Oreochromis niloticus: one gene and its partners. The protein of the gene in region 2 interacts with the protein of the main gene of each other region in a pairwise test. Links are inferred from orthologs where the notes say so. Each region holds a gene or a part of one and is shown on either strand. Other genes may lie near its edges. The genes, in order: ankrd40, pin1, dab1b and cnksr1.

Region 1 (7,878 bases), on a different chromosome or scaffold from region 2:
CAATGAGGAAGGCCCCACACACCTCACACACTTCCATCTGTTTCTCCTGGGCGGCAAAGCTCTCGATGGTCTGGATTGAAAGGGCATAAATTTGTGATTAGACATCAAGTCAAAGAATAAGGAACACATTTCTGATTTCCATCATAGCTGCCTGCCCAGCTCGCACAGATTTTACTTTGAGAGTATTAATAAGAAATACAGCTACAGTAAAAAATAACTTTTAGCTCACCAGCTAAGTTTAAACTCATTTTTTGTATTTGAAATGGAATTAAACTTATGTTTCCTGTCTAATAGTAGGTGATGTGCATGTTATGCTATCTTAAGCTGTGTTTGTAGGCTGATTAGCCCAGGGTAAACTGACTCACCGAGGGGGTGGAGCTGAGTAGTTCCCTCTCCTCCTTCAGCTGCTCCACCAGTTTCATCATTCCCTGGGCCTCCTCCACTCGGCCCTCAGAGCCCAGTTCCTCAATCTGACAAAAAGAAAAAAGCCATGTTACAATGTCACGACTTGATTTATGGAGTGCATATAAGAATTTAGGTGGTTTTATTTTAAATAGTGTGATCTGTAATACAGTCAGGAAAAAGCATCTGAAGTGTCATACAGTCTAGAGTACATGCACAAAAACAGCTGTGGTCACAACAGGTAGCTGATCCTATTTGAATGATTTCAAGTCTGAAGTCAGCTTACACTTAGATCAGTGTGAAGAGCAACACCTTTCCTTATTTTCCCAAAGGGTTCAAAATCTCCTTTCACAAATTACATTTGTTTGTTATTCAATTATTTTAAGGAGAAACTGCACAAGTGTGGGTTGCAGTGAACCTCTTGACAGGACAGCCTTTATCAGACTCCAATGTAGTCTTTTCAAATGCATGTACAGTTAGCCATGCAGTCCACATACCTTCTAAATTCACAAATTTTGGTGGAACAGTGAAGCTGCAGAGTAGCAGAGGTAGTTAAAGTAGAGGAGTTTAAATATATGTGATCAACCAGCCGAAGTAATGCAGACCGCACAAGAGAGGTGAAGACATGAGTGTGGACAGAGAGGTGTGGGTAGGAATGAGTGTCAGGGGTGATTTGTAACAGAATGATAGCAGCTACAGTGAAGGGGTAGGATTATCAGATGGTAGTCGCACCTGCTATGATGTATGAGTTAAACTCAGTTTAGAGCTCAAGGAGGCAGAGTTAAAGATATTGAAATATTCATTGGGAGAAACCAGGAAGGAAGACTTATGGATGTAAAGGAGGAGGACATGCAGAGAGTTAGCGTGACAGGGGAGGATGCTAGTAATAAGGTCAGAGGAAGGCAGGTGTTCCACTGTGGCAAGGCATTAGAAGAAGAACTTGTAGGAGACCATCAGATATCCTGATGCAAGAACCCGCGTTCAAATCTTTCAGTTTTTCCTCAAACACTACTAATTTAAAGATTTCGGGCAAACCTGCACAACCAGGTCTTCGATCTTCTCTGTTAGAACCTGGACTTTCTCCTCATTCTTTCCTGATGGACCAGGGCCCTGCAGAATGAATACATGAGTACAACTAAGTTCAATACATCCTAAGCAGAAACATACAGGTAATGTTATTTTCTTTTAGATTCATATCTTGCACTGTGGTCCGAGAAAACATGAAGATGCACAGAGGAGTTTGAGAATGATGTTCTCAAATAAAAGCACGAACCCCTGCATTCTGCTGAGCCTGGGAAAGTGCAAGCCGGGCATGCCCTCTGCGGATCCGCCGCTCCACTTCCGCCAGTAGTGACTGCAGATAGCGCAAGAAATCTCGCTCATAACCCTCCTTCATGAAGCGAGAGCTTTTCTCATACCTGGATATAACGACACAGAATTGGTTAATTATGTGTAAAATATCAAGCCAAAAAAAAAGGAAAGAAAAAGAAAAAAAGCCACAATAAGAACTTACATTTTTCGAAGATTTTCATCATGGATTTTCTCACATGGACCTGGGAACCCAAAACAATAAACATATTATTGTCAAATCTCAAGGGCTTTGTCCAGTTTATAATACATTTTGGGAATACAAAGTTCCCAACTTACCCAAGTCAGAGCGAGTGTTTGTGAATAACTCAGCAGGGCAGAAGCCACACAAATAGTACCGACAGACCTGAATAAAAGAAAACATATCAAACAGTTTTATGTAAATTGTGCCTCCATAGTAGATCACATTGGATTAAGTGACAGCATGTTAGTTAGACCAACTATAAGCAAATGAATGTGGTAGTCGTACAAATTTACCTAATCAATTTCTGCTTGAACTAAGAACACAAAAAATACCCACAACACTGCAAGTGAAACAAAAACACAACAGCATGGAAAACAGTATTTATTATTAATATTAAATATTAATGCCGAATTACATACAAAGCAGCATGTATGTAACCGTATTAAGTCTTCAGACATCGCAATGCCAGTTTATGCAATAAAGCAGAGCATAACCTTTAGAGAACGTAATGTGCAGGTCCTTTCACACATTAGCACATCGAAATCATTTGTATTAACACAGTTAAACTATTAGCCCAACTATACCCAGAAAACAAGTTGCTAAAACTGAAGTGAGCCCTATGAAACCTTTTAAGAATGACCAAATCGTGATGCTAATCTCGCTAACACGCGTGTTCAAGCACCACTGACTCAAACCGCCCGCTTTTCGCCATCGATTCTGTGCGTGAATCGAGAAATTTTAATTTGGAGGCCATACTGCTTAAACTAGCCGATACTCACCGCGCACGCCATGCACGCGTATTTTGGACACCTCACGGTTAATAGGTTTTAAAACTAGCTAAGCTAATGGTAGCTAGAATGCTAACTTACGCTCTCGTCGTCCCACCGTACGTTGGATCGCTTCTCGTCAGGGGCCAAGTTTCTATCTCGACCCATCAACTCGTCGAGTAACTGGGCGGCAGAAAGCATTTTTCTGCGGGAATGTAGCCTTAATTTAAAGTACTACAATAATATCCAGAAGGCCTAACTCACACCATCTGCTGCGCGAAGTGCTTCTAATCAAAATGGCAGACCTTGTAACAACAACGCCCGCTCGCAGTCCGAGTACAACCAGCCCAGGAGCTGCTCCCGCGGCCTCTGAACCGGAAGTACTAGTCTGACCATCGTGTCCAGGATTCAGTTCTCCGTATAGTGCTGCAAACTTTTACCATTGATCAAAAACGGACAAAATATGCAATTTCTATTTGTATTTTGATCAGAAATAGATGTTGCGGCACTGCGTATGTTTGTGCTTTGTTTTATTTTGAAAGTTTACAACGGAAGCAAGTTCAGATTAGTCTGATGAGCTTGGAAAGAAAAGCGTTTGGACTTCTTTAAGGTTCTTGAAGACAAATGCTGCATTGAATAGCCAGATTGTGGTGGTGTATGAAAAGGCTCATCAGAGGATATCACACAAGGACATTCAGAGATGAACTAATGTTATTTTCCACTGGCATTGGCTCTTTATTTGATACTGTAATATATAATGTTTACTTGTTGCTTTTACTCAGTTCCCATCGGTCACACTAAAAACTTCAAACTCAGTGAATGTTGATAACAACAAACACACGTGAAGCTTTCTGACTGCATATTTCACAGATGCAGTGCTATGGCATCATCAAAATCTATCTCAGTGATGCAGATTTTGCCAGATCCGATTACTGCCAGAAATGATTAATAAATGTATACTTTTGTGACTTCAGTGCTGACCAAATATTTATTAAAGCAAGTCCACATAGATTTCCTGTTATTGTCCCCAATGTGTTTTAGTTTTCCTCTGTCACACCAACCCTCTGCATGTCCTCTTTCAGTCCACCATCTATGAACTGTAACTTTGTCTCCTCTCCTTTCATTTAGCCATACATCATAACAGGTTTTACTACCATCTAGTAACTCATTTCAACTCCCTCTGAGTTTCTATGCACCTTTACAGCAACACTCAGAGCAAGCATTGCATCTTCTTACATCCAGTGGTGCCTCCCAAAAATGTTTTATACGGTAGTCATATGGGGGCCACTAAAACTATTGGGCTGGCAGAGCCAAAACAGAATTCACAGTTTTATTATGCTGTTGTCAAATATAATTTCAAATATCATATATTAGTTTTCTGCTAAGAAAGTTAATATCACTGAAAACTAAATAATATTCTGAAATCCTCTTGATCGGCCCTCCGCTCTTCTCAACGTACTTTTTTCACTCATTTGTGCATTTCCACCTCTAACCTTAATCACCCTAAACTGCTATGCATCTTTTCCACATTGATCTCTTACCATAACCAGTTTATACAACTCCTGTTCTCTGTTCTTAGTGTCCAGAGCCTTACATACAATCCACTATTAGCCTTTGCCACTTCTCTTTGCTGTACACCCAGCCTCCCAGTACTCTTGTCTACTTTTTCTTTGTTAACCTCTTCCTTTGAATACTTAGTTGTACTCCCTCACTTTACCACTAAGACTCCTTATCTTCGTTCCTCTCGTCTTCTTGCAATTCCCCTCGCCACTCATAAAGTCTGAAACTGTGATTCTTTAAAATTGCTGCCTTGCAGCTGTAGTATCCCTGGTGTATCTTACACCAAAGTTCAAGTTAGTGTAGTATCGTGGGTGTTTGCTCCCCTCTAGTGGCATACTGAGGAAATTCAGCTTAAAAATGTACTTCAAGTTTAAAACCAGTATTTATAACTTTATTAAAATGGATATAAAAACAAAAGTAACAGGTGTGCTTGGGACAAATAATCAACAGCTGTTTAGGTTTTTCTGGAGTAGCGATTATAAGTGTAGGGAGGTTTATTCCAGCTTGCCTGCAACACGTGTGAGTAAAAAACAGTTGAAGTACTTTGAACTTTTATCTCCCAGTTATTTCCTTATTCATGACAGCCAACGGCAGTATCACACAATTTACGTGGGGAATCGCACGGGCTACGCGATTCCTCGGAGGGGAACTAACATTTGTGCTCACTGTTGTCACATCTAAAGATGCCCCCCCGACGAGGCGGCGGTGTTTTTGGCAGTGCATTGACGGAGCTCTGACACTACTGCTTGATTGAATGAGTTTATAGCGAGTGCATGTGGTGCCACTGTAACGCGAACTAACAGCAGAAACACGCGGCGGGGACACGACTTGACGTGTGAACGCCAGAGACGGTCAACACGTAGTTGAAATAACCAAAGCGATTTGCTGCCATAAGCTAGCACCTCGTCGAGCTAGCCAGTAGGTAAGGTTAGCCTGGTAGCTAATGCTAGCGGTTACCAGTATATTTAGCTAATTAGTATTGGCAACATAATTCGCGTGGCCTTTGCGTGTCCTATGAGCGCACGTCGCTAGCCGTGTGAACCAAAAATGTCCACAAATTCGCTGGATAAAGAGCTACAGGAGCAGCTGAGAGAGGCGTCTGCCATCGGGGATATCGATGAAGTGCGGGCGTTAGTGGAGAGTGGGGTTAATGTCAACTCACAAAACGAAATCAACGGATGGTAAGTGTTTTCACCGATTTATAGTAGTATTTGTTCGGTCGCGACTGCAGCCGGCCAGGAGTTGAGTGCAGTCATTGTAGAGCAGAGCTACAGGGATTAAAAACACTGCTCAGCGTTATCCTATTACGCCAAGCAGGGCTTGTTAATCAGCCAGCGCTGCCACTTTTAGCTTTACTTTAAAACCAGCAAACAAGCAAAGTATTGAGTAAAGTGGCTGCTTCAACCACAAGCTTTTTCTCTTTGCTGTAGCCTGGTTATTGAGTTCGGAAACACAAACCCACCTTTGATTATTACATTTTCACGCATGCGCCCATCATCAGTTACTTTGCACCCATAAAGAACCAAATAGAGTCATATCGAGATTTTGGTTAAGTTTTAAAGTAATATATACATTATTTATATGTTTCCATTTTGTATGCCAGTGCCACACACTATAGTCAGCTTAATGAGAGGTGGTACCACTTGAGTGATACAGTATATTTCTGTTATTATTTTTCCTTTTCTTTTTGTACAACACTAAATTGTCTTGTTTCTCCAATAATCCCTGCAGGACGTGCTTACACTGGGCATGCAAGAGGAATCACAAGCACATAGTGTCCTACTTACTCAGTTGCGGAGCAGACAAAGACATCCTCACAGCAAAGGATGAGTTAGCGTCACAACTGACATCCAAGCCGGAGATCAAAAGACTGTTAGGAGGTAAAGTCAGCATTTCTCACTCTGCTGCTCCCTGTGTCACATCGGTGTAACTGGGCTGGTTACGGCTCAGGCCGTAGAGCGGGTTGTCCACCAGTTGTAGCATCAGTGGATCGATACCGGCTCCTCTGATCTGCATGCTGAAGCTTCCTTGGGCATCCATCAGTGTATGAATGTTAGGAAGTGCTTAGGCATAGATAAAAGTACTGCATGAATGTGTAAGTGCGATTGAGTGAGTGAAGTGTGTATCTATAATCAGTTATAACACTGGGCATTTGTGTTGACACATCTGCGGCAATCTTTGCTATTTTTTCGAGTCTGTTTCCAGGAAATAATGCCCCCTCTTTTGTGATCATTATTGCAACAGTTGAGGTGGAGGAAGTGCCTGAAGTGAAGGAGCCCGAGTTGCCAATCGTCCCCAACTACCTGTCTAACCCGCCCTTTATGTATTCCAAGATGGACAAGAAGTCAGAGGTGATTCACCTTACACAAAACGGTTCTGGAGAGCACGCTGAAGACACGCAGAGTGATTCGGCATCTCTTTCGCCAACGCACGAGCCTCCTCGGAAATCACAGAGCCTCGTCTTTGATGCCTCCGCTCCTTCCTCAAATCCCACCATCAACCACAGCCAAGCCCAGACTGGGGAGTTCATCCCTGTGAACGAGCAGAACGGTGTCTCACCCAGCACGGCTGCTTCCCACAGTCACGCTGTCGTTAACTGCACGGTGCCCATGGACCTATCAGTCGAGCCTCACCTCGTCAACCACGCCGATTACCCGCACACAGTGGTGCACAACGGCACCGTGTGTTCGCCTCCACTGGCCTCACCCAGTCCCAGCTTGGCTAGCAACGGTGGGAGCCAGGTCCAAGCCCCAGTGGCAAGCACAAACCCAACTGTGAGCAGACAGCAGTCCATCCCGCAGCAGCTGAGTTACGGCCAGGCTGGTGGTGCCATGCCAGCCTTCCAGCCTTTCTTTTTCACCAGCACCTTCCCTGTCAATGTACAAGGTGGGTTTACTGAGAATTAAAGATTAAAATAACAGGAAATGTTTATCTCAATTTCAAACACATTAAGTGGGAAGAAACAGCTCCCCTGGTTTACTCTGAAGCTTCGAGGTACAGCACCACAAGTATCAGCACATTTTTCTAATAAACATGACGTGCGGTTTACTTTTTATACATCTTGTTTGATTAATGTTTATGCAAATAGAAATATAAAACCAACAGCATGGATTATTTTCTAGAAACTGCATGCTGTAAGGATTTCTTAGCTGAGAGTAGTAACTTCCTCCTTTGCCTTGAGTTTTCCTGGCAGCTAGCAGAGCCCCATTAAATTACTGCACACTGCTAAACACCTTCTGGTGTCAGGCGTAGCAGGGGTAAGAAAGAACCAGGCTCTTTGACACTTTGTCGGTGAATGTTTTGACAGTAAAACTTTCATGTGGCATGGCAATATGGATATTTGCAGCTGAGTTACTAATAATATCACAGATATAACAACTTAAATTGTCTGCATGATGTCGTCAACCTGTCAAACCAGAAACTGGTCTTTATGACAAAATATAACCAGCATGCTTTCTTTATAAATGTGCTTTCATAAAAACTAAACAGACCCTTTCTTTTCACTTTTTAAATGATCAGTAAATGAACTGTTCAGAAAGAATATTCAGTCTCTCATAGTAGTACAAAGCATTCATAAGGTGCTGCTGTCTGAGCACA
Region 2 (7,224 bases):
AAACCAACCAAACTGCTTCCTGCCAAGACTGTAAATAAAGGTAATGAGAGAAGAGCATCAGAGATGCTATCAAAAAGCCACAATGACCAAAACTGACTAAAAAAAGCTTATTGTGTGAGTTTACAACTATGATCGAAGCCTTTTATGTTAGACATTACAGGCCATCTGCACAGGAGAAAATAAATATCACAGGCTGACTTCATAGAAGAATCACCTTTGAATCCTTCTCGGCCTTTCAGCAAAAAAGTGTAAAAGAAAAAAAAATGCTGCTGAGGCCATACACTTTTAAAAGAAGCACCTTTCTCTAGTTTAGCATTCGATCGTACTTAAACACTGAGTCAACTGTTTGGTTTCTTCTGTTTTAAAAGTAATTCTTATTTTAAGACTGTTTTCATGGACCACTGATTCATTTATTAGGCCAATCCCCTTCTAACCAGCCCTGGACCTTCACACCTCATATTTATATAGCAGCAGTTTTGCTTGACATTGTGTCAGCCTGCTTCTCAACAGAAACATATCCACCATACTGGAGTGGACATGGAAAGGATCACTGTAACATGACCTGCGACCTTAAACAGCAAGAACAACAGGTACTGTTGCCAGCTGCAGTCCAACATCATGAAATTCGAGTTTATCCTCAGGATTAGAGACTCATTGAGCAAAAGGCTGACTGCGCTGCTCGACTGTTTTTATCTTTGCAAATAATCCATGTAAACTGTTAAATGGTATACGCTCTGACATGCAAGCTTGCTACCGCTAATGTTCACTGATCACCTCTTTTGCAGTGCTAACATTTTCATGTGTGGTTTCATAAGACCAAGATGGTGAAAGCCCAACTGCCACACTGCAAGTTTCAAAGCTGGTGCCCACAAACCACGGGGTGACATTAAAGTGGCTCTGCCCAGCTTTTATATGCTTTGGGTGCTTTCCATGACTCAAGCACGCCTCCTTTCTTCCTTTGGTCAGGCTCCATCTTCATATAAAGCAATTAACTTGTTGTCCAGTACTAGCTGGCAACTAGTTGCTAGCACTAGGAGACGGCTCTTCCTAGCCATCTCAGAGAGATGTGAAGGAGGTACGTGTCGATGGAGGAGCTGCTGTTGCTAAATGAGAACTTTGTGGTTTCATCGTCAGTGTAGAGTGAGTCACGGTGCACAGCTGGGCCACCTGTCCAACTCACAGACTCCCACACGAGCCCTCATTTAAGAACGATTTCAAAGCTTAGAGCAGCTTCTCCTTCAAAGTCTGAAAGTCATTCAAATCTCTAATAGGCCAATTTAAATAAAAATAATCTCTCATGTGCCATCTTTAGATATGCTACAAAAAATAAATAACCAATTATTAGTATTTTTTATTTTATATCTTCCAAATATTTACCTTTTATAAATAAAATTTACTTGCGTTATTGTTACTTCCTTACTTATCGTTATTAGTCGTTGATATAACAGGCTAGAAGGTAACAAGGTACTGTAATCACATTACTCTTTGAGACAGGCAGTACTGTAACATATCACTGTACTAATTTCAGCAACTGCATCACTATTTGCTTTGCAAAGGTTATTCAATTATCTCAGCAATGGGCAGATTGAAAGAGGGGGAAAAAAAAATCAAACCAGCAGTTTTCTTCCTGTGCTGCTGTCAGGTGAGTTCAGATTTTTGCAGGGAGGAGGAAAATGGTGGAGCAGTTTACAACATTTGAGAAGTGGCGATGTGGCCATTTCACTGCATGAAAGGATGAGATCACGAATCGCAAACTGCATCCAGAGCAGAAACTGCTGCATTATACTGTTAACGCAACATCTCTTTACAAACATCTTCACGGTGAAGAACCTAGAGTCAGTGTATCCTGACCCTTAGTCAGCAGCCAGAGTGATGAGCCATCAGGCCCAGCCTCCATTTCTACCTGTACATGTTTCTACAGTAGAATCGGTGTGGTGGTTGTTCTGAAGGCTCCTTGAGTTGGTTTTCAACTTTGCCACGTGTTATCACTACAAAAATTAAATTAAATTAAATAAAATCTTACGGCCTCTGTTATGATAGGGGTTTGAGTCACTGTGTGGGGCTGTAGCCTAAGGCTTATAATGCATCACAACATGCTGTCAGTCATGTTGCGGTGGAGTAACGCAAAGTATAACGAGTAGTTTAACAAATTACTTTCTCCAGGGAGTAATTAGGTAATGCAAAATGAAACAAAAACAAATAAATAAAAGTGACAAGTAATGTTTAAGACTTTGAGCAACGACCCCAGCAATGTTCACCTCACAGTAACTGCTTTCTTTTTTTGAAGCAATTTGCTTCTTTGAGGGATACTAAAACATTTAAGTTAATTGTATATTAAATATTAGTGTTTCTCCGTGTAACTGTGTGTATTAGAATTGACTGGTCCTTACAAAACACCACAGCACGAGAGCTATGACGATAACCTGTGTCACGTGAGGAGGGAGGAGAGAGGACGCATAAGTTTAGCATTCTGAAAAGCGTCCTACTGCTGGGACTCGTTCAATCTGCAGGTGAGGCGCTGGGGCGGGCTGACGTCATGCAGGGCCCTGCCGCAGCCAGGTTGAATGAATCAGCTTTGGCGCGATAATGAAGCTAAGGTGCCTAAAACAAGCTGAGAAAACGCCACCATTAAATAAAGACATTGACAGCAGCGACTAACCCCTCGCTGCTTTTAGACTGCAGTGATTAAACACGTCAGTCCAACCTCGTTTCAGCACTAATGCACGATGCTGAGGTTGCTAGCTACTGAGCTAAGTTCACTATACACTCCACTTTAGCTCACTATTTAGGACACTTAGCTTCTTGTGGCTCGTGTTTTATCACCTGAATTGCGGCTCATTCTTTTCTCCCATCCGGACGGTAGGTTCTCCTCGTCTGCCATGTTGCTTTCTGCAGCAGCGTTTTCAAATTTGATTTCAATCTAGAAGCCGTGTGACGAACCAAGCTGCAGCTAGGCAGATTACGACAGTTGGCCTGATGTTTATGGTACAAGTTGTTTTCAGTATTAGGTCCGCCTTTGGTGGGGTTTTTGTTCTGTGATAGGTCTAGCGAGATCGCCAATCATCGTAGTCCTCATTTGATTGGTAGGAAGGCGAATTCGCAACTAAACCAGCTTTACGGTAAGCAGGACCGAGAGGTTTCCAGAAAATATCAGCGAAGGAAATAATTGTTTTTTTCTGCTGTACAGTTCAAGGTAAGGATGACAGCTTCAACGTGTGGTTTTTATACGGTATCATAATGTTTCGGATTTTGACCTCATAAAGCTGCCCATGAGTGTATTTAAATATAAGTCCCGTTTGTTTTACATTAACGTGGTGTTGTGAGCTACAGCTAACGTTAGCTAAACAAAACAACCTGGCTGATTTCACTAGATTTCTGTGGCTGTGATTTCCAGCCAATCTTGTATAAAATAAACTCACTAGGGTTATCATCTACTTTATAATCTAATACCTTCATTTGTCTAACGTTGTCTCATCTCTTCCTCTTTTCTGCAGACATAAAGATGATTGAAGTGGTTTGCAACGACCGTCTAGGCAAGAAAGTCCGGGTCAAGTGCAAGTATCCTTTGCTGAAACTCTGAAAATAATGCTGAATATTGTCTCTCAGCACACATGTCAAAATCATGTTTTAGGTGCGGACATCTGGGATGTCTTGAGATGAGTTAACATAAGTCGGGATGTTTAACAGTACAGCATTCATCAGCATCTGCTTTCACAGCACCCCTGCTCTGAAATTATGGACTTAATTTTAAGGTGCAAGTAAGGCCCATTTATATTATAGAATGGTGTGGGGAATAGTTTTACAATGAATCTATTAACATGTGAGTTTCTGGAGTATGTTAGAAGACTAAAATTCAGTGTCACTGTTTGTCTTGGCACCCATGCTGATTACTTCTTATGACTTATTTCATTCCGTTAATACAGAAACCCACAATTGAAAGTCTGTGGGTTATTATAATAGTCATATTTGAGGTTTCAGCTTGTAAGTGAACTTTATTAAAAACAAAAAGTCAGTATCTTACATTTTGGTCTTTCAGGTTCTTTTACCTTTTAATATGTGACGCTATTTATGTTTATTATCATCAAATGATGTTTAAAAATGGTGCTTGCCACTATTTGCCATCACTTGACAGCAGATATAATACCACTTGAATGAACGCCACTTGACAATCAACTAAAAGTCTGATGATTTTCAGTAACTTCTGGGTGTCGCAGCTTGAAGGGATCTTGTTTGGTCAAGTGTTAGACGTTTTTGGCCTATAATGGGTTCGGAGGCAGTCTGTCATGGGGCTACAGAGAGAGTTGGACCAGTTTAGATAGAATACTTTAGCCATCCTGTGTGTTTTGACTGAGGAAAGCAGAGCATCCAAAGCTGCTGCGCCGTCCATCTGCAGATCAAAAGAAACAAAATGATACTAGCAGACAACACTCAGATTTTTTTTAACCACGCATTTGTTAAAGCTCTGGATGTTTTCCAAGCTGTTACACTGCTCCTTCCTTAACTTCGGTGTTTCAGCTCTGAGGATACCATCGGAGATCTGAAGAAGCTCATAGCTGCCCAGACAGGAACACGGCATGATAAGATCGTGCTAAAGAAATGGTGAGCTGCTCAAATGGGATTTGATGTGCTTGATGACAAATAACTCATCTATTTGGACCTAAATGTTGTCCTTTGTTTTCCACAGGTACACCATATTCAAGGACCACGTGTCTCTGGGTGACTGTATCCTTTAAAGGGTTTTTCCTGTAGTTGTACTTATGTGGTTTTAGTTACATTACCTTTAATTTAATAATGATCATGACCGTGACGTTATTACACCCTCACAGAACAACTGCAGTTCCTTTTATTGCACTCACAATGATCCATAACATGAATGTATCCATAAATTGTTTAAATTGGTAAAAAAATGTTTTTTATTGATTTAGAGATCAAGATAACTGCAGCACTTATTTTTCTCTAATTAAAACAGCTGAAGCATTTTTGTAATGCGTGTAAATTTGTACCTCTCAGAATCAGCAGAACCGATAGCTGCTGTATCCAGATCACTTGTTGCACTTAACCAAAAACTCTCCAGATGAAATCCATGATGGGATGAACCTTGAGCTGTACTACCAGTAAGCAAGAGGAGAACTACAAGTCAGATGTACAGATGTAAAGATGTTTCTTGCTACAAACACACACACACAATTGAAGGTCTCACACAACAAGATGGAGCGAGAGCGACAGTCACACAGCAACAATGGAGTTTTAATTTTTCCTCTCAAATCACTTTGTGAAAGAGATGTTGTTGTTGTTTTTTTTTATATTTTGGAAATAAAACTGATATTTACCTGACTGTGAGAGTGAGTGCTGGTCTTTTTTGTCCATTAATTATTTTCTCATACTGGGTGAGACTGGGAAACCTTATGCATCGCTAACACTTTTCCAAATTACTCTTTGCTTTCCAGCTTACTGGATGAAGGTAAAGTGTTGGGCAAAAGCATGCAAAAAAACATGGAGTTAGTTGCTTTTGATGTTGGTGGTAGTAAGTAGAAGGGTTTAATTGGTGCCAATGGGACCTACAAACTTATCAGTGGAACTTGGCAATGATATTTGCCTATGGCTGTGCATCCAACATCATTCACGTGGGGATGTATATGAATAATTTCAGTGGAGGCAAATGGACACCATCAGGTTTTCTAGGGGCCTTCTGCTCCAACTCCTCCACAAACTTTTAATTAGACGTAGCTTTACCTCTGTACATAAGACCAGTATGGCTAATGAGTTTATCGCATATACGCATTGCAGAAGCTAGATTTACACGCATGCTGTTTTCAACAACAAAAAAAAGTGCTTGGACTAAAAAAAATGATACTGGCTGATTAATCAGCTTTGGCAGCAGTTCTCAGACTGAGAGCTGGGGTTAGCAACCAGGGGGAATTTGTATGAAACAAAGTTTAATGATTTAGTTTTAAAAAAGGTGGTTTCTAAAGCTATTGCGCTGACTCTGAAGTATCTTTTATTGTTTAATGATGGGGGGGAAAAGCCAGCGCTAAACCTCCCTGTACACTATATGTTTAACCTCGATATTTTAAACCATTCTTTACCACATTACACTCGTACTGGACCACATTTCAGAGGAAATTATAAGACCTTTGTGCATCTAACATGTACTTTTATTTTAGAAACCTTTCTGTAGTGTACTGATCAGATAAGACAGCTATAGCACAAAAAACACCTGCTTGTTCACTGCATCAGTGTGAATACATATAAGGTGTATTGTGTAAACTATTTTTGCAGAAGTTCTACATGTCAGGAAGCCTGTGGCATTGATACTTTGACCTTTGTTGCAGCTAAATAAATGCTGCTACTACAGAGAAGTGCCATGGCCCGCAACTCTGTTTTAGATTTCAGATTTAGCATTACAATACAGATGTGGGCACAAAACCAGCCCCATAATCAAACATTTTCCTTTGGTGTGTAAGAACATGTCTGCACTGAACAAAGCCGTCCAACGTGTTTGAAGTGGAAGCGGCACTTTTGGCAGAGTGAGAGCGAAATCCTGCTGCCATGGAGACCTTACTTATAGACTCAGTCTTCTTGGACATGGATACTATTGTGTCTCTCAACACTTCAGAGCTTTAGCCATTGACAGCTGACATTGATGTAAACCTTTTACTAAAACTGCATCAAAGAAAGAAAAGAATGAGGGGACAGTCGTGGCACAGCTGTGGAAAGACAACAACTGCCGAATGAGGGAAGAGGTCAAATGTGAAGATATTTAGAATCCCCATATACTAGTATCATTTCCAAACTGTAGCCAATATAAGAATTTGAATCATTTTTAAAAATAAAAGGCAAGTTTTACCTTATTTGACCTTGAAAAAGAGATCAAAGGTCCAAAGTAATGTGATAATTACAATCCCCAGTTATCATTCTCTATATGCTGTCAATACAAACAATAGCAGTAAGAAAGTTTGCAATAGCTCTGCATTGTATTATTATCACTTTGACCTTGAGGGAGAGGTCAGAGGTCAAAAGTGACATAATATTCTAAATCTTTATACAGTACTTTCTAACAAAACACACCACACTATATACAGCAAACCAAGCCTAAAACTCTGTTGTAATACCATTACTACTAATACTACTAAATAATAATTAATAATAACACAGCAGTTAGTCACATGCATGCACTGTAAAGAAGCAGTTCTTCACACACACTGCTCTTTACCTTTTCCCTAC
Region 3 (7,960 bases), on a different chromosome or scaffold from region 2:
CGCTGAAGCTAGACTAACTGCTTCCATGCTGCCACTTGTTATTCTGCATACAGTATGCTCCAGTGTGGTTCAAGTGATGGCTGGATATAAATTCCAGCAGCATCACAAAAATCCTCAAATCCCCGCTACCACCCCACCCATTCACTTCACTGCTGATAGTTTAAAATTCAATATTCACGCACGGTGGGAAAAAAATAAAAAATCCAAGGTTAGTTAGAAAACACAGACGCCTTGTTACACTGACACTAATATAAAGCTACGGTATGTAGATCTTCTTTCGACCTAGATAGAAATCGAAGATGGGGTTTCATCTTCACAAATTAGTGCGTGCATCTGGATTTGCATGGTCTGATTATTTCAAGATTTATCAGCAAGATTTTCTCCAGACCTCTTTGACCTTGAAAAGACAGCTGCTCCGGCTGCATGAGATTAACAAGCCGGTGTTGTGGTGTTCTTGGTTGAGAAACAAAAATGGCTTAGAGCAAGACAACAAGGGTAAAGGTGTGGCACGATACTGAAACAAAGTTAAAGCCCCCCTGAGCATCGGCACTGCATCTGTTCAGTTGCATGAATCCTAATGCTGATTCACTACCTTTTTGTAGCTTTTCATTTCTTGACTGCTGCTTCAAGGTCACAACACTTAATCCTTTGAGACTGAAGGATCAGTTAATATTAAAGCAGTATTAACTGATTTTTTTTTTCCTGTTTGTTTTGAGCAATATAGGGCAGTGGAGCAAGCTGTTTTCAGCAATGACATAAAACGTGGATATGTCACAGATGTTAGCAAACAGCTGCCTTTTGAAAGCACACAAAATTTAATTTGGAGACATGCTGGCATGCAAATGTTTCCGCTCAAGCCAAAGAAGAAGTGCTTGAAGAGCATTTCATGCCTCCCATTTCCCCATGTGGTCTCAGCATGATCGTGTTGAATAGGACCATACTCAGACCACACTGACTCGGTATGATCTCAGTCAATAAGTTATGATTTTTAAAAGTTTCTGGGTCTACATTGATGGACAGTTGTGGACTTGAACAAATAGTCGACTTGCATGCATTTCCATACCATACTTCCCAACAGAAACACATTGCACTACTTCCAAAGACATGCTAACTACCACAAAACAGAACAAAAAACCCAAAAATACTACTATAAAATGATATTAGATTAGAGGATGGATGAGTCCATTAACTGTTTAGGAAATACAGCCATTTTTATGCACACTTTCTCATGTCTTTATGCGTTCAGTCTTGTATTTAATAACTCTATCGGGTTGAGATCCAGTGACTGACTTGGCCATTGAAGAATATCCCATGTCCTTCCTTTGAGAAACTCCTGGGTTGCTTTTTTCCATATGCTTTGGCTCATGATCCACTTTTGTGACATGCTGTCTGATCACTTTTGAATCTGAGCAGAGAGTGCAGCACTGTACACTTCACAATTCATCCTGCTACTTCTATCAGCAATCACATCATTAGCAGCCATATCTTCCCATGCCATATTACTGCCTCCACCGTGTTTGACAGATGATGCGCTATACTTAAAATCATGAGTTGTTTCTCACCGTCTCCATGCTGTTGTCTTCCTGTCATTTTGGTTATGCATAAATAAAAGTATGGTTTCATCTTTCCAGAACTGTGTCAGCTCTTCAGATGTTTCTTTTAGATTTTGCTTTTCATTTCAAAAATGTACCAAATTCTTGATATATTTGTATAAAAATGGCTGTAATTCCTAAACAGTTAATTCACTATTTTTATAAACCCACTTCAATTAAACTTCAAAGTCTCGCCTTCAATCACACCATGGTTTTTTGATTCAAAATCCACCGTGAAAGCGTGCAGAGGCAAAACTAGAAAAAATGTGCCTTTGAGCAAAAAACTATTGACCTAACTACAGTAGCAGTGCAGTCCCAGCTCATCTACACAATAATTGATAGTCACATTGAACAACTTGCTCATTTCCTTCAATAATAAATATGAGCACTACCACAGGTGTTCTGTCTCAGTCCCCTGAGAAGTGTGCCCTCTAGACCCACAGCCGATGGAGTACATCATGATTACCCGTGGTACCGGAAATGAAGTGGCCCGGGGTGAGAGCGATAAAAGGAGTGGAACTTCTCAGCAGCCGGAGTAGTCAGAGTCAGGGGTCACATGTCATTTATCGATGTCAGGCTTTGCCCCGCCGTGCCTCTCTGAATGCTAATCGCTCACGCTCTGCTGTGACAATACGATTAGACTTGATTAAAACAGTCTATTAGCATAGAACCCACAGGCTGGGCAAACATCCTTCTTTCCTGGAAAACATGCTCACTCTGAGTGTCAAAACTGCAACTGACTGGACGTGCACTTACTGTTCGTGTTTTTGGCAACCTTCATGCCCAGAATCAGAGGCAAATCAGCACTCTGTCTGTACAATAACCTTTTTCTTTGTCCTTGAAATACATATCGTGACCCCAAAGCTGCCGCTCTGACTAAAACCGGGAACTAATTATTGATCAGCTTTCATGCTGAGGTTTTGCAAGGTAGCCACCAGTTACCCATCTCCCCTTAGGGAGCTGACTAATCAGGGTGCGGCGATGAGAATTTTGACTTAACTAATCTCTGGATTGAATGGAGATTAAACGCCACGTGGGCTGACGGCTCTCCTCTTTGTCTTTTTTGTCTGGACGGGGATCTGTTCTCCTTATCTTATCACCCTGCCTCATTTCTCCAGGGCAGTTCCCTGCCGTTATCAACGTGGCTCCATCTACATGGAAATCAAAGCCTTTCCAGAAGTGGAATACGATTAGGGAGGGGGAGAAAAGTCTAATCTTTCCCCTTTTGGTTCATGCCACCAAAAAACCTATGATGAGCCGAGCAAATGAACAACAAACACTCCCTGTTATTCTTAATTTAGGGACTGCGTGTGTATTTGCCTAAAGAGAGCCTGTGGAGAGGGGTTTGTTAATGCTGACTGGTTGACAATGGTTGGGAACAGGGAATTGGGGAATTGACAATGGCTGCAGTGGACCCTTTAATCATTTGTAACTCTCAGTTTCACTTCAGCTCTTTATATAACTTCACTCTTCTCTGTGGATGACTGACTGGCCATCAGTAACACAAACAATAGTTGCCCACAGACCAGTTGTACCACATATTTTTGACATTGCCCCCATCTGATAACATGTGCTTGCTGCAGGTGGACATTCAACCCACAGCTGCCAATGCGTTACCACCGCTGAACCATAATTTCCCCTTTACAGTGGAGGTGGATGGATGGGTGAACAAGGTGGCACAAAAGTGACGAGTTCCTGCGTAACTGCGAAGCATTTCATCTGCGAGGCTCCTTTTTGTCTCTGGGCCTTGGAAATGAGGATTAACTCTCGCCTCACAGGACACAGCTGCCTGATTCCACTCCTGACACTGACCTCCTTTGTTTCTTTTTAATGACCAAAGAGTAGATGACTGTGTGTGTGTTTGTGTGCTTGTTTGTGTGTGTGTGTCCAGTAGCAGGGGTGTCCGATAAAGAGAGGGAGGTTTACAGAGGGGATTAAAACCCAAACAGCAGCTTCCCTCCCTGGTAAACAAAAGTACATGGGGATGTGCAGTGTGTGTGTGTGTGTGTGTGTGTGTGTGTGTGTGTGCCACTGCTCGTGACACCAGACAAAAAGAGGAAGACTGAGTCCATCTGTGAAAGCAGCAGGATTAAGCTGTGCTCAAGCCAGGAGCTACACGTCAATCAACCACTAAGTGTTTGTGCGTGTTCTTGTGCCAATGTGCATGTGCATATGTGTGTGTGTGTGTGTGTGTGTGTGTGTGTGTGTCACATGCACAACTGTACATCCACATACATGTGCTCTTCTGATCCCACAGCGAGGACCCCAACTTTGCTGAATTCGTTCGGAATCTGTGGGATGGAGCGAAGCCAGCGATACGTCAGTCACCCAACAAAAAAAAAGAGACAAACTTTATTTTTTGTGAAATGTGTGAACTCAGTTGGCACCCGAGCATGAATCGTATGTGGCTGACATCTCCCTCAAACTGTAATGTGGGATGAAGAAGATGCTTCAAAGTGCTTCAAAAACAACTTTGACAACAAGACGGCTGACAAAGTAACTAAACAATAATAATAAAATAACATAAATTCATTCTGCAGGAATGTTCTACATCATGAGCGTGCAGTCAGTCCCCCCAACACAGGTCACCCCCTCTCAATGGTTGCTGGTGCTCTGTCTGTCTTTGAGAAGCTTGTTGTCTCCCTGTCAGGACCCCCGACTGTTTGCCCATAATGCACCACCACTCCTGCATGGCACCCTGTGAGGGGTGGTGGTGGAGGGCAAGTCTGAAGCCTTCAATGCGCAGGCCACAAAGACCAAAGGTAGGCGTGTGCTTGGAGAGGTGGGGGGCTTGACCTGGATGTTCCTCAATAAAGGACCTTGAAGGCAGGGGGTCATTACGCCTGCATGAGCCGGTGAGCGAACCTGGCTTTCTCCCCTTGACAATCTGAAGGGGTAAATTAAAATCAATACAGCCTATGATGAGGCGACTGCAGTGAGACAGGGGTGAGGGAAGGTAGGAGGTGGGGGACAGAGAGAGAGAGAGAGCTTGGACTTGATGGATGGCTGGTTAAAGGGGGATGATCAATTACCCTGATGGATTGCTTTTTGGGGATCTCTGAAATGAGACGGATCTCTGCTCTTTAAAGGCAAATTCAGAAGGAATGGAGGCTCCACTCCAGTTTGCATGAGAGCCCTGCAAGGCAGGAATATTATTCACTTACATCTTTGTTGTTGTGAGAAGTGGCAACTGGTCCCTCCTCCTCTCCAGAATCCTTTATTTTTCGAAAATGTTTAATCCCCTTCGTCCCCTCCCCCCTCCACACATTCTCCCTCCAACGGATCCCCTCTCTACATTATTCTCTGTGCATTTTAATTTTTTTTCCCTTCTTCTGTCACCGGGGGCCCAGTTTTTCCCCGCCTACTCTCCTCATTTAAGCTTGAAACTAGAATACTCGAGCCAAGAAATAGTTAATCTCTCCGGCTGCTGCTATGATTGGCCGCTGTATGCAGCGCTTCAGCCTCCTTGAATGAGAAATAGGGGTAACCAAGCAACTTCAGTGCTGGAGAGAAGAAGATAAAAAAAGCAAAAAGATGATAGGGCTTTACGGGATTTTCACAATGATGGAAGAATTTTGAAGCTGTTAACAGAAGAAAGAAAAAAAGAGGCAGAGGCAATGTGATTTCACCTTGAGTGTCCGGCAAATGGAATTAACAAATGGATTTTCTTAAACGCGCTTCCTCCCTCTCTCTCCCTCTCTCGCTCATTGAGGGGGGGAAATAGAGCGCTCAAATGAAGGAGACACAGATGTGGATTAAAACGCACAAATGGGACACTTCAGAAAAGCATCCACTGAGAAAAGGTGAGTAACATCTCAGCTTTTCTTTCTTTTTTGGGAGGGGTGTGCGGTGAAGAGGTGCTTCAGCATTAAACTGTGAAACTACAGAGCTGTTTAAGGATGCAAGGCAGCTCAGCGACATGTCAAGATTTATGGATAGGATGCGTTGAATGAAAATGGGAACCAGTCCGCTGTGGATGACCGGGATACAAACACATACAGAGTGAAAAAGAAAGAAAGAAAAAGGGAAAGAGAAATAAATGTGATCATGAAGCTGTGAACCTGATCGTCGGTGCTGCTTTGATGGATTTGAATGTGGAGTCCGCTGAAGCGCAAACGCCGGTTGCCTGTCAAATAACCCGCTGTCCCACGTCGAATTGCGCATAAATTACAAAGTGACGTTTGGGTTTTGATTGTTTTTAAACGATTTCAGCGCGTTAGCTGCTCACGGGGGCTTTTGGCTGTGGGATTTCGTGTAAAGGAACAAGTGTGAGAACAGGCGAAATCTTTTTTTTCTTCTCCCCACCACGTCTGTTGCTCTCCCTCCCTCCACAAATATTCAAATGAAGAGATGTTCTGCTGCAACAGCAGTAAGTCATTCTCAAACGAGTGCGTGTTAGCCCGCTCCGATGCTGAGCGAATGGATGAATGATGACGCATATGTTGATAAATGTATTGATTTCAGTGCGGAAGCGGTCAGGGAATGCTCGGTGGGCTGCAGTAGTAGGGGCTGAGTACCTGTGGATGAACGGTTGGATGGGAGCGCACAGCGCACAACGGCGCCGGTCTGTCCGGCAGCGGTGAGCCAAAATGTGCCAGAAAAACCAGTGCGTGGGCCTTCAGTGTGAGTCCTCCGGTCAGCAGCGACGTTCGTGGGTCAGTGTGGAGGTGGAAGCATTCCAGTTAGTCTTGGAAGACGTGGATGAGGTGGGTGGGGGGTAGCGTGAGACACGACTTCCATTTGCGTCATTTAAAATTTTTTATTTTATTTTTTATGTTGATTTTTAATATATGTCTGGATTTGTAGGACTTACTTGTGTTGTATAAGCATGGCTAAACTTTGGTTATTTTATTTTTGTAAAGTCTGCTATCAATCTTGGTTCTATATTTAAAGATAACCCTAGACAACAAGGTGCATCCCTGGTCCACAGGCATGTCTTTATTAATTAAAAAGAACCACATATAGACAAAATATAGTTTTTTGTGTTAAATCATTCAATAGAACAGGCTGCTGTCCTGGCTGTTTATTATTTTGTTTTTCATAATCATAACCTCTCAAACCCAAACCCCCTCCCCCTTTGGGTAAAATTGAATTGGAGCCAATGTTACCAGTTCAAATGCAAAGTTCATTACTGGACCATATGTCAGTCATGATGCTCTGTGTTTTCTACATGGGTGCTTGTGTGAGAGCAATCGTAAATGATGGGAAATGAGCATTGTAGTGGAAATGTAGTAACACAGCAGCCATCAGCTACAGACCAGGGTGCTGCTGAAACACTGTGGCTCACCTGCATCTTGTTTATGTCGTGGTTTGGTGGGATAAAAGTGAAGGTCTGGGGCTAGGATTCTCACGCTGGTGCCAAAGTTCACTGGCGATTTCTGCAAGTCGCCCAAACTATCCTTCGTAATCTCCTTAGTGAGGATGCTCTGCAACAGAGCCTAAGCTGTGCTCAGTAGCTCGATCGTGGGATGGATGTGTTACCACTCACACACACACATGCTACAATTTCCAGTTGTCACCCCCAGACATTTCTTTGCAGCCCAGTGTGAATTGTGAGGCTTAAGATAGAGCTCAACAAAACACTAGAGAGCATTAACTTCTCCAGTAAGGCCTTCTTTGTTGGGTCTCCCAGTGGAATCAAGGCGCTTCATTTAGCTCCTGAAAGCGAAAGCAGCCGGTGCATATGGTGGATATAGCTTATCCAATTAAGACCATAATGAATTTTCCCCTTTTGCATTTGGAGGAAAGGTGGTTTGGGTATTTCTTCTCTGTATTAACTCTTCACGATTGCATTGCAGCAGTGTTGGAGCAATTTCAGCTTGTTGTTTTTTTGCACTTCTTAAATCTTTGGGCTTTTTCACCCCTTTGCTGTACCGTGCCACACTCTGCTTCTCTTCTTTTGTTTCTGCTGAAAGCCTGGTGGATTATCGCATTTGTAGTTTCTCTTCATCTCGCAGCGGCATTACCTCAACGTGAACTACCAAGTGTTCTGAGGTAATGCGTCTAACGAACAGGGCCTCGCATTGACACTAATGCAAAGTTTCAGACTCAGACACACGACTCCTGGAGTGGCCTGAATCTTTTATAAAAAAGTAGCTTTAATGAGCAAGATTGTGCCTGAGTTCTGATTTTTGCTGGCGGCCTTATCACATTTAGTCTGTTCATTAATAAAGATGTGGCCCCTGGCAGAGGCAGGTCAGGGGTGACCTCGCTTGCCGGAGTTGAACAAAAAGGGGGAGATTGCTCCGATAGCGGTGTATTGTAGAAAGCTGAATGATGCACACGTTCGCCCCCCACCACCACCCGCCACCCTCCTGGGAGTGTAATCACCATGACAGGTGCAGGGAAGGTTGGGGCAACTTAATGTG
Region 4 (7,723 bases), on a different chromosome or scaffold from region 2:
AGGCATCCGTCTCAGTCAAATCAAGCAAATTGGGTGGTTGTTACATTAAAAAAGTCTGACTTGTAATTTGAACACAATAATATCATGTTTCTATAAACGTAATTAAATCATGAAGGATCTGTATGAAATTCAACAACTTAATTTGTTCTTGTTGAGATGACATGATACAATCTAGTAAGAGTGGTTAGTTGCTGATCTCATGAAATTCACAAGATCGCACGAGATGTCAAACTGCAGGGAAATCACTGGAGTTATAAGAGGCAGACAACTACACACACACCACGTGTATGCTGTCGCTATTTATTGTGGATTAACCTGTCAAGGACAAAAACGTACAACAAAATTCTGCATCAAGCCTTGAAATCATAGCTTTCCTACTTTTGTTAAGTCCGGATTGTTGGCATGGTGGTTAGTGCTGTTGCTTCACAGTAAGACGATCCTGGGTTCAAATCCACAATCTGGCTAGTTTGGACTGGTTTCTCTCTGGGTATTCTGGTTTCTTCCCACAGTTAAAAGTCATGCAGTTGTTAGGTTAATTGGTGATTCTAAATTACCTGTCAATGTAAGTGCAAATGGTTGTTTGTGATAGACTTGTGAGTTGTCCAGGGTGTACCCTGCTTCACAACCTATCACTTCAGAGTTATTTCCCAGCCCCCCTGCAACCAGGATAAAGAAAGGAGGATGGTAGTTGTTTAGATCCATTCAATTTTTATGGTAACCAGGATCTAGACTTTGTTGAACATTATATAATATGAAGAGAACATGTAGTATTTAAGTGACCAAGTAGTATTGGGGTATAAGTTATTGAATAGTGTTGAAATAAAATGACAAAATTGTGAAGGATTAAAATATTCCAAGAGCTCAACTTACTTCATCTAAACATGTTTCAATCGCGTTTTATGAACTCAAAATGCACGTTTATTGAATATGAAAAAGTTGTGTTGATTGAACTCAATTGTTTAAGTTTCTGCCAAAGCAAAACGTTTGTGTGCAACCAATGTCCACTATTGAATCAAGTAAATCCAACATGGCCTTTTTTTCAGTGTAGTGTTACAGCAGTGCACAACACAGCAGCGATAAACGACACTGCTATTCCTGCTAACAGCATCCACTATATACAGGTCTAAATGTAACACTCCGGGTGTGTCAGATTTCAGTCGAGGTACTCATGAAATCTGAGATAATAATTCCTTTCTTTTAACCAAGCTGCCACTGAACAAATTAATTAGCTGCTCAATAGTGAAGCAAGGGTAATTATCCAATCTCTGCAGAATGACTATAGAAGGACAAGATGCAGTTGTAATGACTGAAAATACATCCTGCCTTTGTGCCGTACATAACTCATGAACAAAGAGAAGAAAGAGTTATTATATTTCAAACATCTGTGGAATTTCCATTAAGAAATAGCTAAAAGGACAGAATGACTAAGGATAAAGCCCACTGGCAATACTGATTGGACATAGAAATGTATAAAAGAGAATCAAGCAGAGTCAAAATACTTTAATAATCCCTAACTAAATAATGTGGGTTATAGTTACTCCAAGAAAAGAGTGAGGAGTAAAGAAGAGAAGACAGGTTATAGAGGTTATATGACACAGACACTTTGTTTTACACTAACAGCTTGTATACCTCTCCGGTCTACAAACAGCAAATCTTCACTGTCGAGTAAAAAAACAGCATGTTGAGGCTTGAAGTTGTAGCCCAGGTATTTGGGCTGGGCCAGTAGGTGGGCCAAGGACATGCCTTCACAAAAATATATATATAAACAAAAACAATCCCAGAGACCAAAGTCAGCACGAACAAACAACTATCAAAGATTGTGATGTCAGTCAGTTTCAGTGAGACAAGTAACCCACTTAAAGTCAAAAGTCACAATGCTAAAGGCTATTATTAGGTTTTTGTAGACTGGAAAACAGGAAAGCCAAAGAACAGCTTAAGTGATCCATGTCCAATAAAAGTGCTCTTTCTAAATAATAATAAAAAAGCCCCAAAACACTACAGGATAGCCTTTACAGGACTTGATCTCAGAGCAGTACTGGGGACAAGTTCAGACTTGATTTGTTAGGCTAGTAGAGTCATGTGTTACACACAAGTTTGTTTCTTCTTCCTCTCACATTTTCAGCTGAGAACATCTTAACCCAGCAAGAGTTGTATCAGCTGTACTGACCAAGTGTGTCTACACATACAAGTAGTTTGGCTCTGGTTATTTCTTTGCTATCAGTGCACGTAATAGAATATACAACAGACAGTTCTGACAGTAACAACAGCGGTTCAGTCAGCAATAATGACGACATCTCTACTGCACTGGGAGGCTGCAGTTTTCTTTTTTTCCCCCCTTTACTTTAAAACTATTTATTTCAGGTGTTGTAATAAGTTACAGTTTAAAATAAGGAGTCCATATTTAAGAAGTATTTATTTACCCCCCCCCCCCCCCCAAACATACAAAAACCAGAAAAACTGACAAAACATACACCCGTAGGCCACTTTATTAGGTACACCCTGCTATTTGATTCCCTACTGTCTTTAGAATTGCTTTTAATTATTCATGGTATAGAAAGGTGCAGGAAAGAAATTCTGATCCATATTGACATGATAGGATCACACAGTTGCTGCAGATTGAAACTACCCCATCCCAAAGGTGCTCTATTGGATTAGATTTGGTGACTATCTGGCCATTTGAGTACAGCGAACTTACCGTCATGTTCAAGAATCCAGTTTAAGATCTTAATCCAATAGGTTTGAGCTTTATGACAATCCTCCTGGAAGCAGTCATTAGAATATGGGTTTACTGTGGTCATAAATGTGCTGCACCAGCAGCCAGAAGTGCTGATAAAAGGCAGGATGGGTGCATTTTGCTTTGCTTTTATTTGTGCCAAATTCAACCAAATTTACCAAAGTCAAGACTTTGGTGCATTCGGAAATGCTCTTTGGTATACTGTGGCTGTAACCACTGGGTATTTAAGTTACTATTACTGTTCTATAATTTCAAAACGATGTGGCCATTCTCCAGCAAGACATTTTCAGCCAGAGATTTGTTGCTCACTGGATATCTCCAAAAGTTGATTCTGTTCATCTGGACGTTGCTTTTTCAGTGGGAGAAATGTTTCGTCACTCATCCAAGTGACTTCTTCAGTCTCAGCTGAATGCAGGTTTCCCCAATCTTATAAACAGTACATTTGCATAATGACTGGGGAAAGACTGGGGAAACCTGCAGGCAGCTGAGACTGAAGAAGTCACTTGGATGAGTGACGAAACATTTCTCCCACTGAAAAAGCAACGTCCAGATGAACAGAATCAACTTTTGGAGATTTACTTTCCTGGATGATTGAGAATCCATCAAGATGCTCACTGGATATTTTCTCTTCTTCAAATCATTGTCTGTTAACTGTAGACATGGTCATGTGGGGAACATCCCAGTCAATCAGCAGTTTCTGAAATACTCACACCCGCCTGTCCGGCACCAACAAACTTGTCATTTTTAAAGTCACTTCAGTGACTTTTCTTCGTCATCCTTAGATGCTTTTGAACATCAGCAGGTCTTCTTGACCACGTCTGCATACCTAAATGCACTTAGTTGTTGCCACGTCTTTGGCTGATTAGACATTTGCATTAACAAGCAGATGAACATGTGTACCTAACTGAGTGGCCACTGATCATATATGCCACATGGATATGGGCACAATGCCATTTTGCCTACTGACATATGAGGTCAGTTTTCCCTCTGCCTCTTTCTCTTGGTTCAAAGAGGATAACAGCAGGGGGTGCCAGATATCAGAGGGCAGCTCTTTGATGCCAGTAGCCTTTCCATCAGGTGTTGCCCTTTAGCACACTTGATCAAAGTACATTTTGATCTAGAGCACACATTCTCACAGTGCTGTTTTGTCCTCACGGTTTTCTTTAAGAGATTATTTACTGTAGAATTGAAGCCTATGGTGAAGAAATAAGAAGCCAAAGGGGCCATATTAAAATAGATAACTGCATCATATATTCAGCTTGATGCATTATAATAATCTGTGCGGTTTCATGTGGGTCAAAAATGTGTTTACAAATAAGCTAAGATATTTCTTCCTCCAGGAGGATGATTTATTTATACCATAAATAAATGAGCAAGCGGAAAATGTCTGACACTGTAAAACTACTGGACATTATTACAATATTTATAAAGTTATAGCAATGTCACGTAAACCTATCCATAGCTAAAAATAACTAGTCAGCTGAGTTCAAATGATAAAAAAAGGAAACATTTCCGGAAAATTCCCGGGAGAACCGGCTAACAGTTATTCTTGGAAGAGAGGATTAAGTCTGCTGCTCAGTGAACAAGTTACAGTTTCTGTGTATTTCAGCAATTTAGGAGCTTTAAGAAAAAGGAAATCAGCAATGGTGTGTCATAATATTTCTATAAACCTAATTTTCTACACAGCAACTGCTGTTTTTTTCTGTGGAAAATCAAAAGGTTGAATCAGGTCCAGCCAAAAGTAGCGCAGGGCTATTACAGGATTATCGCATTGTTATTATATTGCATTGTACCTTTGTTGAGGTGTTGTGTGCAATACATACTTCCACATTGCTGCATGAGTCGTGCGCCTTTTTTTTTGAGCGACGACGTGAGCTGCGCATGAAAGTAAAGTATGAGGGAAGTTCTGAAATCTTAAAGCCGCAGTAAACACACTATTCCTTCAGGTAAGGAAGGGGTGGGGGATAGGTGGGAGGGGTCTTGCTCCTGGTGGAGGCTGACAGTTCCGTGTTATTGGCTGACAGCAGGTGGGAGACTCTTACCTGTACCTGAGAGAAGGAGTGCCAGTCGTCGTCGTCGTCTGATTCCGAATCAGGATCTACTTTTTCTTCTTCCAGCCACCCTGAGAGGTAGAAATCGGCCAGGACCGCTGGGAACTGAACGAGCGACTGCAACAGGACTCCGAGCATGGAGCCTATACCGTCGTGGAGCGAGGAGAGAGTGAGCAAGTGGCTCCAAGGTGAGACACATATTGCTTTTTCCTTGTCTAACGCCTTGATCACAGGTACTTTGGCTCGCACGGTAATGTTAGAAATAGAATCGCCACACAAATCCTCTTGGAAGTGGAAGGTGGAGGTGGAATGAGGAAGTGGCCCGTGCAGAGGGAGAAGCCAAAACAGTGTAGCTCTGATCAGTGTCAACAACTAAAGTAGAAACAATAGTTTACATGAATGCCTGTCATCTACTTATATTATTTAGATCTCGTCATATAAACAGGCTTACCCATTTGGTATGTTAAAATGTGTTAAAGTAGTGGTGGAAAGTAACTGAGCACAGCTTTAAGGTCATTGATTAACTTTAATATTTTGATTTTATGGTAGGCTCCTTTTTTTGTCATTATAAACATTACTTTTTTAATGGATTACAGTTGACAAGGAGTCACTCTATATATTATACAGCTTTAACAGCAAAAGTACATTTTGCTGTAAATACTTTCATTTTAGTGTTAATTTAAAAGCAGTATTTGAGTATTTAAAAGCAGATTAAAGTATTCTTACATATTACTGATATATTATAGTGATATATATACAGAAGTGTCAATGATTTCCATGCTTTAGAGATAATTCTAAATGTCATGTTTTTGACTTGTGCTTTTTACTGATGTGGTTTTGATCATAAATCATAGCTTAATTTAATACACAGTTAATAGCACAGTTAATACACATAATACTGGTATTACTTTGGTGCCAGTGTATCGTTCAGATATCAGTAAACTACTCGTGTTTCACAGTCATGTCTTTACTTTTTCACACTTAATTACTCAACATGTGGTAGAGAAGAAGGAGAAGACCATTTTCAAGCCTGCACATGCACAGGACTTTATGAGTATGTGGACTTTTCCACTTATACTTTTGCCATGTGTGCAGCTAAAGCCTGTTGTTTTTTGTGCCCTTCGGCAAGGTTTGGATGCTCCCCTGCATCAGTATCCAGTTGCACAGTGGCATCTATCAGGTGTGGACCTGCTCCAGTTGACTTCTCAGGACCTGGAGGAGTTGGGAGTCCATAAGATTGGACACCAGGAGCTTATACTGGAGGCTGTGGAGAAACTGTGCTCTCTGGTGAGCGAGCAATGAGAATTACATATTATAATACATGTAGACAGTGATGCTGAGTGTGTCTCAGAGTATCTTTTGTCATGTTTTTGCTGTGCTATGGATTGTAACGGTGCAGTAATCATGCTATCATGTTCTGGTGCGTATGTTCTGATACAGCAGCACAGAGATATAATTTTGCCTCACTGCTGTGTTTTTTACACCTTATTTTTGTTTGCACAGTGGAATGAGCAGCTGTCGGTCAATCAGTTGCAAATCTAGCCAGAACATACAGCCAGTACTTGACTTTTCTGTCACTTTTACAACAATCCAACATATCACAGTAAAATACTTACTTTGGTTTTCTAGCTAAGATCAAAGGACTAGTCATGCATCAGCTGTAAGCAAAGCAGATTTAGAATACAAAAGCTTGGCCCTAATAGTTTGCATGCAAATTTTAGGGAAATCGTGCAGTCAACTAAAAAAAAAAACACTTATGCATTCCCTTTGATTCTCTGTCCCATTTTTTCTGCTGCATAATTATTTTCCCTGCTTGTCCAATTTTAAGAGCAAGTTTTAGGAGACTTAAATTGTGTGTGTGTGTGTGTGTGTGTGTGTGTGTGTGTGTGTGTGTGTGTGTGTGTGTATGTGTGTGTGTGTGTGTGTGTGTGTGTGGAGGGGACTCCAGAATGGCCTTAGGACTAATTGAGGAGGACAGTACCAGGCCGGGTTCCAGCTCTTGTGGCGTAACAGCCTGTAAACATCAGCCTAAGACTCAGGCTGCTTAAACTGCTGAAATAACTAATACTGATTAGTCATTACAGCATGAACAGTTCAAACCCAAAGTCTGCGCGAATGAGGGTGCAACAGTTTAGTAAAAGCTTTACTTTTCAAGCTTCCATTATAGTGTGCATGTGACTTCATGTGCTCACTTCCTCTCCTCCCTCCATGACTTAATGCTCCGTGAAGCGCTAACACTGCGCTCATTCATAAAAACACCCATCAGATACTCACATGGAGTAGACCAAACAGATTCACGCGCACGGTTAGATAATTACCAGCTACAGTGTTGAAAAGGCCATGAAAAATTCATGGCCACTTGTTGACAGGCCCGGTGTTCCGGCTGGTTGTGTACCAACAAAGCCTGACCGGTACAAACCTCTTGACCACCGATGAGTGGGTCACGACAATCGCATGCTCCTCCTTCAGTGATTTTAAAGAGTCACGTCTCATGCTGCTGGCCAGCAAACTGTGATGACAAGCATATGAAAGAGATTGTGTTAGTATGTATTGATTTTACTCTTAGTTACAGTTGAATCTATTTGGTTTTTTCCCCCTTTCACTTGTATTGCATTGTACTGTGAGGATTTATCATTTATGCAGTTAAGGGTTCAGGATAGACTGTTTATAAAATAATGTGCTTCTTTTTAATTGCTCTGGGTGGATTAGATCCATATGGGCAGTTTATGAAAAACAGGTGTTTAATGGAATTTTTTTTTATTACTCATTATGGTTCTTTATAATCGCTCAGACAATTGCTAAAATAGCTAAAACAGACATTGCATTATGCATTTTTTCATAACTGCTATAACACAATATCAATACCATGACAAAAGATTACATATAAAATATACACACACAGAGTCATAAAGTGTAACCCTGTAAGAATAAAAGGTTT

Evidence for each region.
Region 1: the proteins of pin1 (region 2) and ankrd40 interact in binary tests that used the Homo sapiens proteins (3 or more experiments, as listed by UniProt). The two-hybrid records come from large-scale screens. The link is inferred for Oreochromis niloticus from reciprocal best matches to the Homo sapiens genes PIN1 and ANKRD40.
Region 3: the proteins of pin1 (region 2) and dab1b interact in binary tests that used the Homo sapiens proteins (3 or more experiments, as listed by UniProt). The two-hybrid records come from large-scale screens. The link is inferred for Oreochromis niloticus from reciprocal best matches to the Homo sapiens genes PIN1 and DAB1.
Region 4: the proteins of pin1 (region 2) and cnksr1 interact in binary tests that used the Homo sapiens proteins (3 or more experiments, as listed by UniProt). The two-hybrid records come from large-scale screens. The link is inferred for Oreochromis niloticus from reciprocal best matches to the Homo sapiens genes PIN1 and CNKSR1.

The regions. Positions count from the first base shown.
Region 1 is NC_031969.2:16,507,144-16,515,021, forward strand, and holds the start of ankrd40 (ankyrin repeat domain-containing protein 40), read left to right. Parts: upstream 1-4,870; 5' UTR 4,871-5,328; coding exon 5,329-5,462; intron 5,463-6,012; coding exon 6,013-6,161; intron 6,162-6,525; coding exon 6,526-7,167; intron 7,168-7,878. Other genes in the region: luc7l3 (luc7-like protein 3), read right to left, coding at 1-70, 366-470, 1,438-1,512, 1,676-1,820, 1,916-1,955, 2,050-2,116, 2,824-2,922.
Region 2 is NC_031971.2:12,301,438-12,308,661, reverse strand, and holds the start of pin1 (peptidyl-prolyl cis-trans isomerase NIMA-interacting 1), read right to left. Parts: upstream 3,002-7,224; 5' UTR 2,882-3,001; coding exon 2,824-2,881; intron 1-2,823. Other genes in the region: ubl5 (ubiquitin-like protein 5), read left to right, coding at 3,503-3,558, 4,516-4,599, 4,685-4,722, 5,075-5,118. UniProt on the Homo sapiens protein: Peptidyl-prolyl cis/trans isomerase (PPIase) that binds to and isomerizes specific phosphorylated Ser/Thr-Pro (pSer/Thr-Pro) motifs.
Region 3 is NC_031982.2:8,798,619-8,806,578, reverse strand, and holds the start of dab1b (DAB adaptor protein 1b), read left to right. Parts: upstream 1-4,943; 5' UTR 4,944-5,395; intron 5,396-6,025; exon of another isoform or gene 6,026-6,298; intron 6,299-7,960. UniProt on the Homo sapiens protein: Signaling adapter of the reelin-mediated signaling pathway, which regulates the migration and differentiation of postmitotic neurons during brain development.
Region 4 is NC_031983.2:14,301,971-14,309,693, reverse strand, and holds the start of cnksr1 (connector enhancer of kinase suppressor of ras 1), read left to right. Parts: upstream 1-4,709; 5' UTR 4,710-4,921; coding exon 4,922-4,973; intron 4,974-5,914; coding exon 5,915-6,072; intron 6,073-7,723. UniProt on the Homo sapiens protein: May function as an adapter protein or regulator of Ras signaling pathways.